3 separate regions of the Mus musculus genome follow, and all the other regions are reported to be linked to region 3. The links are microRNA targets in miRTarBase. Many come from high-throughput screens and were not tested one by one. Region 3 holds a microRNA gene; each other region holds the end of a gene's coding sequence.

What was found. The annotated mature microRNA mmu-miR-136-5p reads ACUCCAUUUGUUUUGAUGAUGG and lies in region 3 at 4,013-4,034, opposite strand. An mRNA with a match to its seed (bases 2 to 7 or 8) in the 3' UTR can be bound and repressed. Matches are read on the target gene's strand: a 7mer-m8 pairs with bases 2 to 8, a 7mer-A1 pairs with bases 2 to 7 and ends in A, and an 8mer does both.
Region 1: the mRNA of Ttc33 is a reported target of mmu-miR-136-5p. Seed matches in the 3' UTR shown: 8mer at 1,268-1,275 and 7mer-A1 at 1,618-1,624.
Region 2: miRTarBase lists 2510009E07Rik as a target of mmu-miR-136-5p. The part of its 3' UTR that is shown has no 7-base or 8-base seed match.

Annotation. Positions count from the first base shown.
Region 1 is chr15:5,216,247-5,223,444 of GRCm38, forward strand. It overlaps Ttc33 (tetratricopeptide repeat domain 33), which reads left to right. Exons shown (of 5, transcript NM_026213.3): 5 at 904-2,090. The coding sequence ends at 1,257. Among named protein-coding and RNA genes, the nearest start is that of Ptger4, 24 kb to the right of the region's middle.
Region 2 is chr16:21,646,971-21,654,168 of GRCm38, forward strand. It overlaps 2510009E07Rik (RIKEN cDNA 2510009E07 gene), which reads right to left. Exons shown (of 2, transcript NM_001001881.2): 2 at 2,075-6,788. The coding sequence ends at 6,232. Among named protein-coding and RNA genes, the nearest start is that of 2510009E07Rik, 44 kb to the right of the region's middle.
Region 3 is chr12:109,592,167-109,599,364 of GRCm38, reverse strand. It overlaps Mir136 (microRNA 136), which reads right to left and starts at 4,038; the gene lies at 3,977-4,038. Rtl1 (retrotransposon Gaglike 1) reads left to right here. Exons shown (of 2, transcript NM_184109.2): 2 at 3,877-7,198. The coding sequence starts at 3,962. It overlaps 6430411K18Rik (RIKEN cDNA 6430411K18 gen), which reads right to left. Exons shown (of 1, transcript NR_002848.3): 1 at 6,514-7,198. It overlaps Mir127 (microRNA 127), which reads right to left and starts at 6,519; the gene lies at 6,450-6,519. It also overlaps Mir434, Mir432 and Mir3071.

The sequences.
Region 1 (7,198 bases), not on the chromosome of region 3:
ATGATATTCTCAAGTTCCATCCATTTGCCTGTAAAATTGATGATGTGTTTATTTTTGATAACTGAATAGTGTATTCCATTGTGTAGATGTAGGACATTTTATCTATTCTTCAGTTGGCAGACATCTAGATTGTTTCCAGTTTCTGGCTATCATGAATAAAGCTGCTGTGAGCATAGTTGAACAAGTGTCTGTGGTATAGTGGGGCATCTTTTGGGTATATGTCCAGGTGTAGTATAGCTGGGTCTTGAGAGAACTCGTCCCAGTTTTCCGAGAACCTGGCAGATTGATTTCCCAAGTGGCTACAATTTTGCACTCCCACCAGAAGTGGAGTAGTGTTCCCCTTGCTCCACATCCTCACCAGCATGTGCTATCACTTGAGTTTGTGATCTTAGCCTTTCTGATAGGTATAAGATGGCATTTCAGATTTGTTTTTATTTGCATTTCCCTGATGACTAAGGACTTTGACTCTTTCTTTAAGTGTTTAAGTGTTTAATCATAGAGATCCAGAATTTTGTCAAATGATATATCTTCATCTATTGGGACAAATCCTATGATTTTTTTTCTTTTATTATGTGGTATACTAGTTGTCCCATGGTGAAATATGTGAATAGCATGATTCTTTTAAGATGCTTAAGCCCTCATAGCAGTGCCCCTGATTTAGTAGCTTTTAAACTAAAACCAGAATTTTGTCAGCCTTCCCCATCACACTTGTGTTTTGTCTCTACCATAATTATCTAATTATTATGACAGAAGCCTATCTTTTTAAAAAATTGATTGTAAAAATTATATTTGTATAAATGTGTGTGTGCCAACATATGTACCCATACTAACTTGTAGGTATGTAACTGTACCTAACTTGGCGACTTTTAGAAATAACCCAGATAAAACCATCTTTCCTCCCAGGCAATTCGAAGCTTTCAAATAGCCCTGCACATATATCCGATGAACCCTGAACTCTGGAAGGAAGACCTTTCTTGGGCCAGAAAGCTCCAAGAACAGCAGAAAGTAGCCCAGAGGATTGAAAACAAAGAAATGCCCCCGGAAGGCCCGGACCTCTCTCCAGGGTCCATCCCGGACTATGACTTTGAAAGCGATGAGATTGTTGCTGTTTGTGCAGCCGTGGCAGAAAAACAGAAGTCGGTGTCTGCAAATAAAACAATGGTTATTGTGTCGGCGTCTGGGACTGTAGAGATCGTAAACGAGAAGGAAGAGGGCTCTTCCACCCCAGATGGCTCCGTCTTTATCAAAGCCCGGTGAAGCCATACACAATGGAGAGATGTTTGAATCTTTTTTTTTTTGTTGTTTGCTTGTTTGCTACTTAATGTTTTGATGACATAGGATATGCACTGTGGAGGAAGAGGGGGAAAAAAGAAATCCTGTTTTAAAACGATTTTTTAGGTGAAACATAGAAAAATCAAGTTGTGGAATTATTCTTCAGTGAGCGGACTATGCTTCTGTAACTTCAATATATATACTTAGAGTTAGCATCTTACGTGAAATGTGTTCTGATCGATAAGCATTTAATTTGACTGTATGGGAAAGTACCCTTAAAGGCACAGTTTGGAAAGTGTGTTCTTGAATAGTGTGTCTTGACAGGCGTGTTACTACAGTGCCGACATGGAGACTTTGCTTTGTGATAAAGGAAGTGTGCGGTTTCTTTCCCTCCTGTAAATCTGCTGTTGTCATTCTCCCATTTTTCTTGCTTCACCAGTGTAAGTTTTCATCAAGATTGAATATTTCTGACATTCTTTTGGATTCAAAGTTATTGCTTTGTTATATGTGAATATTTGAAATATTTCAAGTTTGCCTAAAAATGCATGCAGATGTATGTGTCCTGAACATTTCTTTGAAGGTTTCGTTGTTCTTGTTGTTGTGCTAATGTTCTAATTTGTGCTTCTGTTTTGACTTTAAAGTTAAAAAGTGCTAACTGTCTTCTTCAGGACTTGATAACTGGATACTGGTGTGTCAGAGATGGATTCATTTTACTGTCAAGATTGAGTCATCTTTACCACAAGTCAGTCCTTTGTCAAGATGAATGGCATTTGCAGATTGTCAGTAAAGTCTATTTCTGCATTATCCTGGTCAAAAAAGTTTCTTTCCTTTTATTCTTTTAGGGGAGAGGCTAAGTACCCCAGAGCGCTGGATTAGCACCTGCCCGAGCTGCATCCTCAGACCTCTTTCTTATTTTTGAAAGTGTGAAGAAGCTTGAAAACATTTCTTGTCTTTAGCCCATGCTAGCCTCAGGGTTATCTTCCTGCCTTAGCATCTAGACTGCTGGGAATACAGGTATGATCTACCACTGCTGACAAATACTTCTTGCTTGTAACTTTGCAGTGAACAATTTATAAACATCTTTCTAAACAGCTTTTTTGGGAACTGTTCAGTGAAATGAAAAAAAATAGTTACAATTTCAATTAAGTATAAAAGTAAAAAGAGAGAGTTCTTAGAGTGTCAGGGTGTGACTGACGGGGAGCTGGGATGTGATGAATAGTGTAATCCCACAAATACGGGACGGGTGTGGTAAGGAGGCAGCTCAGTGTCAGGAGTGGTAGCAGAGGCCTGTAATCCCAGCACTGAGGAGGCTAAGGCAGGAGAGTTGTAAGTTCAAGGCCAGCCTGGGCAACATAGTAAGCCCTTGCCTCAGAAAAAAGCAAAATCGGTGGGAAAATAAAACAACACAAGAAAAAGTTTATTAGAGATTCTCAGTCACAGTCACAAATCAGTACTATTATTGCTATGAGTTACTGTTTTTGTTGCATATATTATAGTGCAAGTATATGCAGTTTACTTATATATATGCATATATAGTGCAAGCATATGCAATATACTTATATATATGCATATATAGTGCAAGCATATGCAGTATACTTATATATATGCATATATAGTGCAAGCATATGCAGTATACTTATATATATGCATATATAGTGCAAGCATATGCAACTGTTAGGTGCTGTTCATTCTGATGCTCAGGCAGTTATTATTGATGTAACTTTTTTTTTCTTTCAGAGATACAAATTATCTCAGTTGTATTATGTAATCTTAGCAAAAACTGTTGTGACATATAAATGTGCTCTGTATTTTTATGAGGATGGTATTTTTGAAGTATTTTAGAGGAATGTTCACTAGTTTTTTGTTTTTTTGTTTTTTGTTTTCAGAGTTAGAGAATCAGCAGTTTTCTTAAGAAGTATTATATACCGCCCTCCCCAATTATATCTTCAGATAATTAGCCCCTGGATAGAAGAGAGTTTTAGAATGACTAAAAAAATTATTTTGTTAAATAACAAGGGATATTCTCAGAGAGTACCTAGATGCCAAGAGAATTGATATGTTACATACAAATACCTGTTTATTATATAATTTGTGAATGGTTTTCCCTCTGTTTTGGAGATTTTCCTCTTAGATTTTGACAATTAGATTTGTATATCTTTTTTTTTTCCTGTGTAGAAGTATATGTGAGCCACTTGGTATGGCCCCTTACACATGCTAGCTAGCTAGTTCTAGGAAGAACTTGTCTTAGTTCGGAAATACTTCTCACTTCTTCAGAATTTTGAAAAGATTTTTATAGTCTTTTATCCGAATGAAGTTACTGCTTGTGAAACTGAAAGATGGTTGTCAGCTAGAGATTGTTCTTAGCGTAGAGTCTGTGCCTCTACCTCCAAAGAGGCAAGCCCACACGTGGCCTGCATGTTGCTGCTGCTGAACCTGTTGTTTCAACTGTCCTGGAATTGGCGGGTCATGCTGGTCTTTCTGTTACCCCAGTATAAGGTACAACATAGATGTAAGATGTGGGGGAGGGAGAATGAGTTACGAAGAAAAAAGAAAGGTTCATTTCTCCAGACCCCAAAAGATACTTTAGCTATCATTCCGTGTAGGAAGCTAAACATGCATCCATTGTTTTGCTGGGGTGTGAGCAACAGTATATAAAAGTTTACTAAAGCTGTTAATTCTAATAACACTCGAATTTTATGAATCTGGAGAAGATGATACTCATAATGATATAATTATATTTAATGGATGATCATAAACAACAGTGTTAGTGATTAAAATTATATTGAATATGGATTTGTGTTGTTCTGGTTTCAAAATTTATATGCTATAGATACTTACTCAAGTGTTACACGTCGAGACCATACGTGTAAACTTGAGACTCGTGATACCTCCAAGGATGCAGGTGCCCAGGGTACAAAGCATTGTATCGTAATTATCTGACAGTATTGGGAAGTTATAAGAGAGGCATGTCAGAGCTCATGTGTACTGCAACCAGAGCCTTTGGACAAAGCAGGATGTGATGGCATAAGCATGCAACTATTTTAAATCGCTGTTAGCTCAAACCAGTGAAGGAGTTGTTTTAGAAAACTGGTATTTTCATGATTGTATCAGGACAGCTCAGCCCTGTCCGCTTGCAGATTATGCTTTGCACGGTGACTCACAGGCTGGCTCCTCTTTCCCAGCAATAAGAGAATTAATTATTAATCAGCTTTTACATTTCCTTCAGTCAGAAACCCTTCAAACCCCACTTTGTAACAGACATCCTAGGCTGGGGTTTCATGACATAGCGTATGTCTGAATGATTTAGGAGCTAGCACAAGAACCACAGTCATCATCTTCAGCGTGTGTGCTAAAACGGGATTTTCTGAGATGAGTTTATGATTGCTGGCATTGTAGGTTAGAGAAACTCACTTCTAAAACCAGTATTAAAGCAGGGCAGTTTGTCAATTACCCCTTTACAGAAGTAAGTTTAAATGAAATGAAGATTTTTATCTGAAATTGTGTCCCTTAACCACGTGCAAAATTGACTAGGGCTACATTGAATGAATGTAAGAGCCATGGTGTCCCTTTGGCTATATTCAGTTCCTTGTGAGTATTAATGTGTGAACTGCCTATGTTGTACTTGGAGGGTGGTGGGAAAGCTAACCAATGTGAACCTGTTGGGCAAGCAGGTAAGCAGGTTAGGTAGGAATGAATTCCTTTCATTTTGCTTCTTAGACCAGCCAGTGACCAAGGAATCCTGCTCAGCCTCCCACCTCCCAGGGAGATGGAGGACAGGATGTACTGGTCTGGTTCTCCTGTTTCTCTGGGTTGGTCACGGCTCCTTCCAGCTGCATTGTAATGGGGAGCAATGAAAAGGAGGGGATGGGTGGGGATGGAGGTGGGGGGTGGGGGAACAGCACCCGTGCTTCAGAACTGCCAGTACATCTGTGAGGTCATCTGGCATAACCTGCATGTCCCCAGCTCTTCCCTTAGGTAGGTCAGAGGCCAAAAGGACTCTTTTAAATGCTAGGATTGGCTTTGGGCTCACATAGGATCATCTAAGACCCCCTTAAATACCAATAAAGACTGTATTTCAAAGCAAGCATGAAATTTAGTAAAAACAAAATGTGAAAATCCTAATTTTTGCTTTCTTTTATTTTTTTAAAGTTGTGGAGGTTTTATTGAAAATGAATGATGTTTGTTACAAGACAACAGAAAGATTTGCTAACATTACTAAAAGGTCTACTGCTTGGAATAGTAGTAATGCGTAAAGCTGAAGGGGGGAATGTGGAGTGAGTTATAATATCCTGTACCCACCTTTGTCTTTTCTTAAGTGACTATAATTTAAATATAGGGAACAGCAACCACTTTAAGTTTGCTGATGGTGCATCTCCACCGTCACTGCCACCACGAGTAGTTCCCCATCCACCCAGAAAGTCTCCAACATTTTATGCATTCTAGTTCGCCTGCACCCAGGACCGTCTGCTTTCCGTGCTGTCAGTTAGACTGTACTTTATAGGACTACAAACACATAGACTGTACACTTGCACTCTTATGCCTGGCATGGTTTGCTGAGCACAGTGTATGTGATCCGTGTTAGTGCGTATGTCAGCAATGTTGTCTGCTCTGTTCCTGAGTATTCTCTTGTAGGAATATACAACAGCTTACTATTGAACGTTTCGGTTGTTTTGCTTTATTCTGAGTAAAGCTGCTATGTACAGATTATTCATTCTGTTTATGGACACATGTATTACTTTCTTTATCTTAAATGGATACAACTCCTGTTGTTTGTACAGCTTACATGAAACTTTTAAAGGTCTCCCAAATTATTTCCCAAAGTTTGCCTTATTTTGGATTTACGAGCAGCTGCTGAAGAGTTGTTCATTTTCTGATACCTTTGTCAATCTTGGTATCGTTCATCTTTATTATTTTAGACAGGCTAGTGGTTGTTATATTTTAAGTCTGTATTTCCCTGGTGATGTGGGGCTGCATTTCTTCCTTTTTTCTCCTCTTTTCTGACACAGTGCCGTGTGTTCTGGCTCAGGCAGCTGTGAACTTGCCACACAATTAGGGACGAACTTGAGCTACTGATCTCCCGTTTTCTTCCTTTCAAGCTTTGACAGTAGAGGCGGTGTGGCCCATCACACCGGGTTTATATGATGCTGGAGACTGAGCGCCAGGACAGGTAAGCACTTCTGGTTGGCCTGCATCCCAGTGCCTGCTGCTGTTTTTCATGGACGTACCTGACATTATCTTTTGGGGAGAAGTATAGATTCAAATTTCCCCATTTTAAATTTTGATTTCTTTACTCCATTTTACAACTAACACTGGATAAGAATTCTTTATGAGTTACTGTTGTGAATATTTTCTCTCCTCTGTAGTTTTCTTCAAACACTATTCAGAAAGTAGACACGTTAGACTTTGGTGAAGGCCGGTATAAAGGGGTTTTCTCTTCTTCCATTTCGTGCTGAGAGATCAATTCTTAACTAAGTCACAAGGAATTTCTGTATTTTCTACTATATATTTTCAGCTTTGCTTTTTATGATCAGTTTTGTTGTTTGCTAAGTTCATTTTATATGTGATAATAGTAAAATCTGAGGTTTGGTTTTTGATGTCTAGCACTGTTCATAGAAAAACAGTTGTTTCCTACCTGGCATAGGCCTGTCATCTTAGTACTTGGGAGCAGAGGTGCCATTGTGGTATCCAAGACAGCTGGAGCAAGACCTGCCTCAGAAAATAAGCAAGTACATAAATTAATTAATTAATTAATTATGTCTTTTTGTGATAAGGTACACAGTTACTATACAAATGTTAAGTCAATTACATTTCTAGGATACATTTTTCTGAGTCATGATGGATTATCCATTTTAAGTACTGCTCAATTCAATTTGGTAATACTACATTAAGGATTTTTGTGTCTGTTCATAACAGGATATTGGCTTGT
Region 2 (7,198 bases), not on the chromosome of region 3:
TTGGGTGACCCAAGTGTGAGGCCACAGCAGCCATGAGCTAGGCCTGAGAGAAGGGATAGGAAACTGCTGGGAGAGCAGTGAGGGATGCACTGAGAATCTGGGCTTGGCCCCGGACTGTGTCCCTGCCATGTGAACTCTGCATCTGACTTGAGTCTTGTGCTTCAGTCAACACACACACACACATACACATACACACACACACACACGGACAGTGAAGAACCTGCTCTGTGGGGAGATGCTTGTGAGACACAGGTGCCTACAACCTGCAGCGCTCCACAAGTCTACAACGCTAGCATTGGTCATCTTACAGGGAACCAGATCTCTGCGCTGAGATTGTCTGGAGTTTCACACCAGGTGACAGGCTGGATGCCACGGGACTCAAACATCCCCAAAGCCCAACCTTTCTAATCCTTCATCTCCAGATTTCCTAGGCAATCTCCAGCTAGAAACAAAGGGAGACCTCCCCTGACCCACCAGCGTCCAGCCATGGCTGGAGCCCTTGGGAAAGGCTCATTCTTCAATGGACGCTCATTGGCTCCAAGCTCCCAGCAATGCCCTTGACTCTCAAAAGATACAGTCTTGTGGCCATTGCCTGGACACCCACCTTCCATTTTCAAACGAAATGGTCTTTTAGCCAATGGAAATACAGGTTCATTTTAGAAAACTCAAAAAAGTAACAAAACCACCCGCATAACTCGGCATCCTTCCCAGGCCTCCCGAGTTCTTCCATCGTGTCTCCCTGGTTCCTAAGGCCCCCCACCTGAACATCTCTCCTGAAACTCACTGCCAAGAGACAGGTGCCATCTTACCCTCTTCATTCTGTGCTGAGCTGCACAATGAGAGTTAAGGACATTGACAGTTCCCAATGAGGACAAGATGTTAGCCTGGCTTACTGCAGAACGGTTGTAGGCAGTCAGCACTTGTAAGACTACGAACAATAAGATGCTTTCCAGCATGTGGTAGTGCCATTCTGCAGAGTTAAATTACTGAGCTGTACATGCACATGAGATCCGCTGTCCTTGATGGACCAATCCGAATGTGGAGCTGGTAGGAAAGACTGCATGTGAGCAGGTAATCAGGTACACTGAAAGGGGAGGCTAGACCACAGCCCTTCTGTGGCACTGTGTGGCAAGCCACCAGGCTCGGGCAGTGTTCGCTAGCTTGTAGGTAGCCATGGAGTAGTGCAAGCAAAGGGCCATCAGTGTGGACTCCTGGGCCAATGTCCTGGGTTCAAATCTGACCCTGACTAGTGAATGGTGCCACTGTCGTGCTTTCTGGGCTGCCCTTGTTTCCACATGGGATGTTAGGAAGACCACACTGGAAATGGTAAGGCAGCATCAGGAATTCAGTGAAGGCACTACTGCCTGGGGACAGCTGTGCCATGGACCCAAGCCCAGAAGCTGACATACTGAATCAAACAGGAGTTTCTGGGAGCTGAAGAGCAGCTCCAGTTCCTCTTTCAGAGGACCCAAGTTCAATTCCTAGTACCCACATGACAGCTCACCTTGGGGTTGTCTTAGACCTGAGACAATTTCCTCTTTCTCTTCCTCCTCTTCCTCCTCCCCCTCCTCCTCTCCTCCTCTTCTGTAATCCCAGCTCCAAGAGATCCAATACCCTCATACAGGCAGATAAAATAAAACAAAGTACATAAAATAGAAAGGATTTTTAAAAAAAAAAAAATTCAGAACTGGCCATAGTGAAGTTTGACCCTTGGCCTTAGCCATCAAGTGGCCCTGAGCTCCATGGGGTAGTAGCCTCCCTCACTGCTCAACCTGTATCTGCACCTATCTTACACAGCATTCATGAACTGAAATGGGGGCCTAAACTGGTGCCAGAAAAAAAATGTTATTTGTGGGGTCATAGTTTTTACTTCATATAAACCTGATGGGAGCCAACACAAGGTTTTACATGGAGTTCTGGGAGTTAACACAAGTGGCGAGACACACACACACACACACACACACACACACACACACACGAAGATCTAGAAAATTTGAATGGGTGAGGAGTATGAATTGCTTATCTCCTAACACACAGTGAACACTTGATACAAAAAACCCCAACGGCAGTCTTGTTCTAGTACAAAAGGAAACCACGTTTATTGTACAGCAGTACTTTCCTAAAGTTGAGCTGTCTTAGGAAAACAATGTAATTTTAGGAAATTACAGAAGGGTCAACATTGTGCTTAAACTTCAAAACAGATTCAAAAGAACCTAGCACAGCAGGTGACTACTGCAAAGGACAGACAGCCTTAACCCACGTGCAGACCCAGTGCCCTGGAGGCGCCATCCAAACCCTAGGCTGGCTTCCAGGTGCCTTACCTCCGCAGCAAGCAGCTCCCCCTGAACTGCACCAGCCCTTCTGGGACACCCGTGTTCCCGTACCATAGTCACGACAAGGTGAAATTTAAAAACAAATTCATTTTGAGAAATGCCCTTGTGTTTATACTGAGGTTTAAGATGGTGCTCTGGGCTGTGTAGTACAAAGAAGGGGCACAGTGACACCTTCTCCACAAACCCCAGGGTACCCGGCCTCTACCCACGGTTCTAGTTCACAGCACCGCTGGACAAACAGGAAGGAAAGAGACCAGTTAGAATATTTTCCTCAAGTAAAAAGCCAAAACCATGACAATAAAGTTTTGTAAATAGGATTTGGGAACAATCAAGAGCAGATGACATAAAGAGTATTTTACTTAAATTTGTGCTTTTTTTTTCCCCTTACATGGCAGTATCTGCACTACAGGCATATATGGATATTTTGACTTTCTAAAGTGTCTGGTTGCTATCAAATTTGCATAAGAATAATTTGTTCTGATCAACCCTAGAAGAACAAGTTACTTCAATCAGGCAAGCAGGTGAGGTTAAAAAGTAAAACAAACAATCAGATCATAGATCATGTCCTAAAGGCTTGTCAGAAAACAGCCATGTGCTTCTGATCGGAGGCTCAGTGTTGTGTTGTTATTTTGTTATTATACAGTGTTGTGTTGTTATTTTGTTATTACACTGTGATGTGTTGTTATTTTGTTATACTGTGTTGTGTTGTTAATTTGTTATTATACTGTGTTGTGTTGTGTTACATTGTGGCTCCATATTACACTGTGTTGTGCTGTGTTGTGTTTGGATTCTGTGGCTCAGGTTTTAGTCTGTTCACCTTGAGGCATTAGTCTTTTCTTCTAGGAAAACAACTTTGTCTTCAGGGTTGTCCTCAGATTCTCATATTATTCCTTAAATGTTAAAGGCAAAAAAAACCCCAGGTTTTAAAGTTCATTTTTTTTAAAGATATCAAATAGTTATCCCAAAAAGGACTTTAATTGCTTTGTCATTTCTCAGAAAAACAAAAAACAAAAAACAAAAGCTATGGACACATTTGAAACTTAAGATCTTGGTTAGGTAAGAAAAGTATACTCCACATTTAGTGGGATTACCCTGGTACCCAACAACCTTTCAAAAGTGGTAACAGTGCCAGAATCCCACAAAAACCTATCCACGTGGTCCAAGCCTAGCTCCAGGCAAGCATCCTATAAGGTCCAGATTGCAAGCTTTTGTCTCTCTCACTGTACAAGTGTTAGTCAAAAGCCTATTTAACACCACTGTGCTTACCGCCTACAGTGCATGTTGTGTCTAAGTATTTCTAAAGTGCCTATGAATACGCATATACAAATCAGCACTATAATATCAGGATTATAGAGAAATTCTTTCATAGAACAAAGAACAGAATAGGCCTAGAATTGTGGTTAAGCTATACAATTTTTTTATAGTCTCTTGAGCTGATTTCAGACTGCAAGCATAGAGAAATGATTCTGGCTTAGTCATATTTCAGACAGTTACTGGTATGAAGTCTGTTAGGAGGAGAAAACCAAAAACCTCTCGGCTGTGCTTCTTTAGAAAAGGCTGTTTGGAGATCCAAGAATGCAAGGGAACGTGTCCAATTTTATAAAACGGCAAGTGAAGCTTAGTGAATGTAGTTATAAAGTTGGTGCAAATATTTAATGTGATCACCAATTGTTATTAAATCCAAAAATCCCATCACAATGGTGGCAAGTCTGAGTGGCAGTTTCAGGGGTTTAGAAAACAAGACCCTGGACAGAAGTCACAGATGTTATACTAATAAAGGGACCAAGCCCAACACACAGCTAGCCTTCAGAACTTTGGCAATGACCGTGTGTTTTCATGGCTTTGGGGCCCGGGTTCTAGATCCCAGTTAGTTTAGTATTTGTGGCAGTGGCCCTGTAGCAAAAAAGTAGATAGGAAAGGTGCAGGAGTAAGTCCTGCCGTGTGTCTGCCTCTCCACCTCAGGGTCTGAGGATGGTGCCGCTGCTGCCCATCACAGCCACGAGTGCAGGATGAGGGATATGTGGCTCATGTGTTTCCTTTCCATGACAGTGAGGCACTACGACCTTCAGTTGGGCCCACCAGGTGTCACCAGACCATCCCAGGCCAGCAGAATGACCCCACAGCCAAGATATGGTGGCTCCCACCTGCCCTCCCTGTACCTGCTGGTCTTTGGTGAATCCTCACTCCCTGTGTCTGCTGGTCCTTGGTGTGAGTCCTTAAGTATGTGGGGAGAGGGAGGAGTTGCTACATTCTCATCTCACACAGGGCGTTTTAACTAATGCTTTCCAGAGGAAGGCATATATTCTGCCTTCTGAACACTGGGTGTTTGGGGATAGGCAGCCTAAAGAAGGTTCTAGTAGTAAGCACTGGGACTCCATATCCAACTAGGGAAGCAGATTCTTCCTTGCGTACATAGTGAAGAGCCCCCAAATGAGGAGGCCTAGGGAGCATGCTCTCCTTGCCTGCAGTACACACTAATGAGACAGAGGGATGTAGAGAGATGCTGATCACACAGCAAGGCCACAGTGCCTGCTCAGACAGCCAGGATCTGAGGCAGGTCTCCCTGCAGCCCTGGGACTCTTGTTTTATGACAGTATATTTTTAAAAGTCCCAGATTTGTACTATGCCTCACAGATATATTTGGGGAAATGGCAGATAATAAGATCACATGAGAATACACAGTTAATAGCAAATTAGGAACAGAGTTTTGAAGAAAGCTACATAAGAATTACTCACTATTTTGTGTGTGAGAGAGAATCCACACAATGTGTGTGGATTCCAGTGGAGTAAAGTGAAGAAGTGTTACATAAAACATCTTCCTGACTCAGCAGTGAGCTATTTCAACTGTTTTTGCATTTGCATAAAATCCATGCATCATACAAAATTCTAGTCCATTTCTCATCTAAGCCATTCTAATGCTTCATACAACCAAACGAAGCAGGATTGATCAAACCTATTAGATTCATTCCTAATCCCTAAAGGACTTCTGTCTCTTAGCATTTTCATGCTAACTAAAACTAGTGTGTATTTTTTCCTTAAGATGTCAGATGTGTTACCTCCTAACTCTAATACCTACGAAACCTAAATGCTTCTCCCTGAACTGCAAAACAATCAAGGGCAGTGGGCGCTGTAGAATCCACCTGGGGTCAGCTCAGACACGGCAGCCACATTCTCAGCCAGCCCAGGCCAACTCCACTCTCCTTCCCCTGATCCCATTATCCTCCTGGCTCAGCGAGCTGCTTGACTTGTGTCCTGTACTAAAATGTGGCCCCTTCGAGGTGAGAACCAGGACTGAGTCCTCCTGAATCCCAGCTGGACTGGACACAAACCCCAGAGACCCTTTCAGTCACAGATGCTGTGACATGGCCATCACCAGGAGTCAAAAGGGCCTCCAAGGACCTCCTAGAAGTAGCCGAAGCCACTCTTGTCCTGAGCCAATGTGGGTGGCAAACAGAAGAGCAAGGGAGGGAACAGTGGCTGCAACACTGTTTCCAGAAGTGAGCTGCTCCCCCACCCGGAAACCAACAGGACAGAGGTGTCACATGACACGCCAAAGGGAAGCTGAGCCTTCATCACGTAGGACAGGCTACTGGTAAAATATGGTTACTTCCACTCTGGGTAGCTCTTCCATTGGATACGCTGTGGTCACCACTGCTCTCAAAGTTCTCAGTGAAATTAAGGCTGGGTCACAACTCATGACACCAGATGCTACATAGAAAGCAAGATACAAAAGGAAACAATGTCGTTACAAGGTAATATAAGGGGACACTAAGCAGACCACTGGACTGCGACTGTTAGTAATATGCCTTGGAAAAGGCCAAGAGTATTGGAAAAGGACTCGTCCAATCAAAGAACAGAAGAGGCTCAGGGTGGACCTCCGGCCGCAGTTCCCAGCTGCCTACACAGTGGTCTCCATCGTTTCAATCACTTCCAGATCCGACTGCGATGGGGAGAGCAGGGTGCACTCATCGGGTTCCCAGCTGCTCTCAGGGCTGTAATCTTCTTCGGAACTCAGCTCCGCCCCTTCTTCTGTGTCCTCATCACAGGATTCCACATAGTGAGCCCCAATGGCGTTGATCCCCGAGTCCTCGGAACCGGAAGGGGAGGAGCAGTGACCCAGTTTCGGAGTGTCACTCTCTTTAGAAATTAAGGCATCGTGTGCAGAGACCTCCTCAGGGCTCATCTTCTGGGAGTGGGGCGCCTGCTGCTTCTGCACATAGCACATCTTCCCATTAATACATTTAACCTGATAGTTGTCGATGAAGAGATCGGAAATCATACAGTACCTTGGCGAGTCAGGGGGAAGCGGAGGCTGGAAGACAGACGCAAATTTCAAAAAGTGTTCAGTGAGCGAGACGGAGATTTGAATGGTGTTAGTCGGCTCTCGGGGCTTTGCAGGGATCTCTGTGCTTGGGAGCTGCTCCACGGGGGTCATAGGCTGATACACATATTTGCCTGTGGGACACATAAGATACAGCTGAAATATAGGCCCACCATGCAAACTCTATTAGGTAGCTGTGACAGTCTGGCTCTACAGAGCATGTTCTCTAACTATTTTGGTGACATCCAGATCAAACCAGTAACATCCCCGTCACTTGACAGCCCTCACATTCATGTATTAAATTCCTGATTCCCAAGCTGATGCTCATCTACATGAGATGGTAAAGTGGATGCCCCGTGGGTTTCATGTCCTTAAAGAAGAGGACAGCTTCTGTAAGGCAGATGAGTGTCCTCAACAGACAAGCACCCACTAAACTTTCATTAGACTTCCCAGCCTGGCTGAAAAAACAGATGTTAATTAAGCCATCTGGTCCATGGCAAGTGTGTATGTTCGTGTGTGTGTGTGTGTGTGTGTGTGTGTGTGT
Region 3 (7,198 bases):
CTGGGGTAGAAATCTGGACTTTATTTTGAGAAATCAAAAATTTCTATCACACTAAGGGCTTTGGGCTTCTGCCAAAAGGCTTTAAAAAAAAAAAAAAACTTAATGGTGAGATTGCTTGCTTGTGGGAGATAAGCTTGTAGAATGAATGATAAAACATATTTTATGGCTAACAGCTTTGGACTTTATTATTACAAGCAACAAGAAACACCGAGAAATCATAACTAGGAAAGTGAACAGGCACACATTTAAGATCGTGCCCAAACACTCTGACTTTCTATGTGGAGAGAATGCCAAAGTTTGACTCTCAGGGCAAGCCAAGGAGCTATGATTAATGTAGACACCAAGGAAAGGTTTCAATTAGAGGAGTTACATGGCCGAGTTGGGGACTATGCAGAGAAGTTTGGAATTTATTTAGAGGCTCAGACGTGATGAGGTTTTTGCACATGTTTAAAAATTTGATTTATCCAATTCTAACGGAGTGACATGGTGAGTTTTCTGTGTTTGATAGATATAACATAGCTCTGTTATGAAATCAAATTCTCGCCGCATGCCAAGAATCTAGACTTTTTATGTCCTGCACAATTAAGAGACATTGCCGAGTTTTTAAGGTGGGGTCACAAGCTCAAATTTAATGAACTGTGCTAAGACGTGCGAATTTTATTCTAAGGGATGACGTATCAGATTATAATATCACTTGAGTAAGTTTGGACTTGAGCCAACAAACGGCTTCAAAGTGTGATGGGAGATTTGTTGGTTTCTTTTTTTTTTTTTCTTTTTCTTTCTTTCTTTCTTTCTTTCTTTCTTTTTTTTTTTTTTTTTTTTTTTGGTACGTGACATGATAAGATCCTGTACTGTCTGTTAAGAATTTGGAGCTTCATGCTACATAGAAACTTTGCAACGTTTTAAATCTGGGAGTGACTCCTTACAGCCTGTGAATTCAGCAGAGAAGGGAGTGGACACTGTAATATATTTAGGAGATTTGACCCATGTGCAAACTGAAGGCACTATTGCATCCTGAGTGAGGGGTGAGATATCATTTCTGATCCTTTTGCATGGGGGCGGGGGGTGCTGCGGGATGCTTGGAGTTTGGCCAAGGAAGGATTTTAAGGAGTGAAATGGTGAAGAGTTTTGTGTTCAAAGGAATCTGATGATGTTGAAGCGTGTTTTTATGCTAAGGTATGTGGATTTGGTGTGCTGTTTACTGCGTGGGTGACTGTCCACTGGCCCCCTCAGTACCAGGGCATCCAGTGGGACTTTTTTCTTTTTGTGCAGAGAAATGGGGTGACCTCCAGATGAGAGGTTGAATGACATTTACATAGCGTGTCAGGTTCGACACGGTGGTGAGGGGTGTGAGGAGTCCTCTCATGCCATGCTGAAGAATTTGGATGCCAGCCACGATGAGATTTTTAGGAGAGTGATATCATGAGCTTTGCATGTTGGATAGTCTCAGTCTGCTGAGAAACGTATGGCTTTATGATCATACTTTAAGACTTGGTCTCCATAGGTGAGGCAGAGACTTTGTGAGGCGTTAAGCAGAACATAAGTACATGCATGTTGCAGGAAGCTCGACATTTGTTACCATACAATAGCTTTGGACTTTGTCAAAGATGTTTTATTGTGGCCTGTGAAACTGTGGGTTTTTGTATTGATTATGTTGATTAAATCACATGGTTTAAAAATAATTTATGCTAAGCAACTGGAACTTCATGGTAAAGAAAAGAAATGTCTGTGTATGTGAATATGTGTGCGTTAAATAGGAAAATCATAAGATGAAAATTGTTTATCTCAACTAAAGGTTTATTCTGATATCCAGGCATATTAAAATTTTTAGGACAAGAGATTTTTGGTTGAGGGCTGGAAAGCAGAAATATCTAATCCCTTACATGATCAAATTTGTCTGTAATATTTTAAGTATAGGCATTTTATTTAGAACGGGTATCATTTAGCTTTAAAATCGGATTGCTGCAAATTTAAAAATTGAAACCATGAGCAATTTTTAGGTGGAGACCTGCTGAGATTTTTATGTCCCGCAGATGAACTTGGGGATGAATTAGTCAAATTTTATATTTTAATAATAGACGACTTTTCCTGAAAGAGGAAATAAGTTGATTTATGTAATATGCTGTGCATGTTTCTGAGCTGATGGTCTGTACAGCAGGCTCAGGACCTGTGATCTCCAGTTCTAGGAATGAGAAGCCCAACGTGGACATTATGCTAAGGCCTTTCAATTTCAGCCAGGAGTTTTTTTTTTTTTTTTTTTTTTTTTTTGGTAAGTTTACATGTCAGACATGTTTATATAAAAGGTTTGGATTTAATATTGCCGACAGTAAATAAACAGTGAGAGGCTTTAATCAGAGGGGTTGCATGATCGAATTTAAGTGTCATGCTAACAAGGAGATGTCTAATTCTGAGAAACTGCAGACCCAAAAGCATCCTGCTGCAAGGTTTGGAGGATGGCCAACGGGAGTTTTACATGAATGACAACATGGGAGATTTCTGTTTATTTGGTTTTGTGTGTGTATGTGTGTGTGTTTCTGTTTTTGGATAGGTCAGCCCAGTGACCTTAAAAAAGAAAATTGAGAAGTAACAGAAGGTGCAGAATTCATAAAGACAATAGCTATATGGCTGAGCTATTGAATAACTAGCTTAATTTGTTTTGCAAACCAATACATCCCTTTAAATTCAATTTCCGTGCACTAAACCCTCCATGGCTAGATTTTCAAAAATTACGGAACAATCAGATTTCAAAGGTCCCATGCCCCCCCTTTCACCCAACTTCATACCTCTGTTAGATATACCCCTGTACCAGACGAAATCAACAGTGACAGAAAAGGGGGGGGGGGCACTTTTGAGAACGAAAACCCTGCTCCTGCCGAAGCAGAGGAGAAACTTGGAAAGATAGCATTTGTGAGACGTGCAGAAATGTTTGCATGAGCAGAATTGAGGCCAGATGTTTAAAGCTGCAGGAGCCCTGCAGACCAGGCAATCCTGGGAGAACAGTTTTTTTGAAAGCCCGGGAAAGGGTGTTTAGAAAGCTCCGACTCAGCTCAGAGCTGGAGAAAACGTGGCTTTGGACAGAGATCAAACCGAACAAGAGAAATGATACTATCCCTCCCCCACCCCCCTCTTATCCTGCATATGCACAAAGTGTGACCTAGGATGAAGCCATGAAAGTGCATGTTTTCAGCACATAGTAGGCATTTTATAAACATTTATGGGGAGCAAAATTAAAACCAAAAGCCATGGCTCTCTCTCACTTATTTCGGCTTGGAGCCTAGAGGAGGAAATAAGAGCTATTTTTGGCTGTTGACCCAACTGGCAGGATAGTGGCCAAGTGCCCAATTTCTCCTCTTTCCCCAGTTTGTGAAATAGCAGGCATCTCCCTGCAGATTCCCGCCTCCAACCAAGCTCACTGGGCTGGCTCTAGACCACCAAGCCTGCCAGCAGCCGCTTTGAGTGGCATTGAGATGTGACCTTTATGACTTTTGGGTGACTACAAATGGGAAGGGAACCTGGCCAGGGCAAAGCGGGCCAGAAGTGTGCCCTGCCAGGTGCTAGCTCGCCACAGAGGACGCTCCAGGCCAGTTGCTCCACAAAATTTATGGGCTGTGAATTTCTCATTCCACTAGAGGAAGTAGGCAGGTGGGGTAGTCAGACTCCGCCTGGAAGGCAGGTCAGGGGGTGACGGTCTTTCCCCTGGAGGTGCCCCAAGTAACCAGAAAAGGAGGCTGAACTGAATGCAGGAGGAATTTCTCCATTTTCTCTCTGATTCTAGTAACTTGGCATCTGCTTTGTCCTTGAGATAGAATCTGACCCTGCCATCTTGAGAACCTAAATTGCTACATTTTCTCCTGTCTTTTATCCCTCTGTCCCTAGGTTTTGGTCTCCACAGTTGCGGTCTCTGACCACACACATCACAATCTTACCAGTCTTCAGAGCACACTCCTTTCCAACCGACGACATGATAGAACCCTCTGAAGACTCATTTGAGACGATGATGGAGCTTAAGAATCCATCATCAAAACAAATGGAGTCCTCCGAGGGCTCATCCAACACCGTTGAAGAGACACCAGGCAGCAGTGGAGCCCAGGCGGGGGCCCAGGCAGGGGCCCAGGCGGAGGCCCAGGCGGAGACCCAGGTGGAGGCCCAGGCGGAGGCTCAGGCTGAAGCCCAGGTTGAGGCCCAGGTTGAGGCCCAGGCGGGCTCAGATAGTGGCCCAGCCCAGGAAGAAAAGGAGCCACCCAGTGGCCCCCTCAAGGAAATGCAAGAGCTGCCCACTAATCTACTCCAAGAAGTGGAGGAGCCATCCAGTGGCCCCCACCAGGAAATGCAAGAGCTGCCCACTGATCTACTCCAAGAAGTGGAGGAGCCATCCAGTGGCCCCCACCAGGAAATGCAAGAGCTACCCACTGATCTACTCCGGGAAGTGGAGGAGCCATCCAGTGGCCCCTACCAGGAAATGCAAGAGCTACCCACTGATCTACTCCGGGAAGTGGAGGAGCCATCCAGTGGCCCCTACCAGGAAATGCAAGAGCTACCCACTGATCTACTCCGGGAAGTGGAGGAGCCATCCAGTGGCCCCTACCAGGAAATGCAAGAGCTACCCACTGATCTACTCCGGGAAGTGGAGGAGCCATCCAGTGGCCCCTACCAGGAAATGCAAGAGCTACCCACTGATCTACTCCGGGAAGTGGAGGAGCCATCCAGCGACCCCTGTGAGGCATCATCTAACGATCTACCCCAAGACATGGAGGAATCAAGTGATGATGGTTCGAACCAGGAGTCGAGTGATGGTTCAAACCACGAATTAAGTAATGGTTCAAACCATGAGTCGAGCTTTGGTTCAAACCCAGAGTCGAGCGATGTTTCCAACCTGGAGTCAAGCGGTGGTTCAAACCAGGAGTCCAGCGATGGTTCACAAAAGGAGTCAAGCTATGATTCAAACCCGGAGTTAAGTGATAATTCAAACCAGGAGTTAAGCGATAATTCGAACCAGGAGTCAAGCGACAGTTCAAACCAGTCAAGTGATATTTCAAACCAGGAAGGGTCGGAACCACTCAGTGAGGCATCCGATTATAGCATGGATGAAACAATCAACTCATCCGAGACCCAGTCAGACCAAGATGATACTGACCTGGGAGATGACGAGGAAGAGGAGGAAGAGGAAGGTGGTGAAGAGGAAGGTCAGCCCAAGAACTCTCCAGAAGAAGTCGTGGCCACCATGGGGAACGTCATCTCGCTGTTCCTCCGGATGCAAGACCTAAAAGAACAACAGAGAGTGGCAGAAAGGCTCATGATGCAGGCTATCAACGAAGGTCGCCTGCCCTCCCTCAGGCCCTTCTCTGGAGATCGCAGAGACTACCATGAGTTTGTCGTGCTCTGCCAGATGACAATGCAGAACTACCCAAGTATGCTATACAATGATGAGCTGCGGGTGAAATTCGTCATCCGCCACCTGACTGACCTAGCCTTGGAATGGGCCAACGACCTCGTAGAGCAGAACAGCCCAGTGATAAACAACTTCTCAGCCTTCCTGGAGGCCATGTCAGAAAAGTTTGAGTATCGGCAGACCCTGCGTGTGGCGGAAGACGCCATGTTCAACATCAGGCAGGGGAACCGCTGTGCGGCCGATTACATCAATGAGTTCCGGGGTCTGATACCCACCTTAGGCTGGCCAGATGAAGTCCTGCAGGCCCACCTGTGCCAGGGGCTCAACGAAGAGATCAGGCACTATCTGTTCCGGATCCCTCAGCCGAATTCCCTAGACAACCTGATTGTACTTGTCCTGCAACTTGAAGAAAAGCTGGCAGAGAGAAGAGCATTACTCAGGCTGCCACCTGAGTCGCGCCCAAGAAGCGTAGCCTGGATGGATGCTCCCGCCCCAGAGAAGTGGAGGGTAAGCAGCTGGCTGCCCAATGAGTTCCACCCAGACATTGATCGCGATCACCTCTTCTTACTGCTCTTGGTGAGAGTGGACCCCTACCACAGTGTCGCAGTGCGGGCCCTGGTGGACTCAGGAGCAGAAGGGAACTACATGGATGAGAGGTTTGCCCAGGAACACTATGTGGAACTCTATGAGAAGCCTTATCCACAGATAATCCAAGGTGTGGATGGCATCCCAATTGGCAATGAACCCGTCTGGCTGTGCACCGAGCCCCTGGTATGTGTCCACCAGAAGCATTATGAGTACATCGAATTTGACATCTTACCTTCGCCCAACTTCTCCATCGTCTTAGGCATGAAGTGGCTCCGAACCCATGCCCCTGAAGTCGACTGGATGAGAGGCCGGTGTACCTTCCACTCTCCCTACTGTCTGCGGAATTGCTTCACCCCACCTCCACCATGCATCGCACTAGAGACATACAGCATAAGCCTACTGCCCGGATTGCCACACACATACTCAGACCTGGCCGACGTGTTTAACCCGAGGGAGGCAGATGATGAGACTTCCGACCAGCCAAGCTCAGACGGATCCGATGATCTTTCTGAATCAGAGCCCTCTGAGCTTCAGCAGGCTGGAGACAGTGATCAAAGCGGCGTCTTTTACGAGTCTGGGGCCCGAGAGACTTTGGAACCTGTGAGCGCCAGGATGCAAGAGAAAGCCAGGCAGCAAGAGAAAGCCAGGGAGCAAGAGGAATACTGGATACTGTATGACATGCTGACTGACAGACAAGACTACACGCAGATGGTACCAGAGCTATTCGACCAGCTACATGGAGCGGCATGGTTCACAAAACTGGAGCTGCTTGGGATTAAGGAAAGTGAGATGAGGCACACGGTCACACACACGGAAGACACTTGGAGAGCATCGTTCGGTTTCGGCCTTCACCAGATGAGATGCTACCGGCCCTTCACAATGAACTCATACTCTGACGAAGGGAACAACATTGTTCACTTCATCCTAAAAGACATCCTAGGGTTGTTTGTGATTTGCCATGGCAGAGAGGTCCTGGTCTACTCAATGAGCCAGGAGGAACACTCCCAGCATGTCCGCCAAGTCCTGGTCCGCTTTCGGTATCACAACATCTACTGTTCACTGGACAAAACTCAGTTCCATCGCCAGACCGCTGAAATCTTGGGCTTCAACATATCCCCCAAAGGGGTGAAACTGAACAAGAACCTTATGAACCTCATCGTGGGGTGCCCTGTCCCTGGCAGCAGGAGGTGTCTTCAAAGTGTGATTGACCTTGTCTATCCC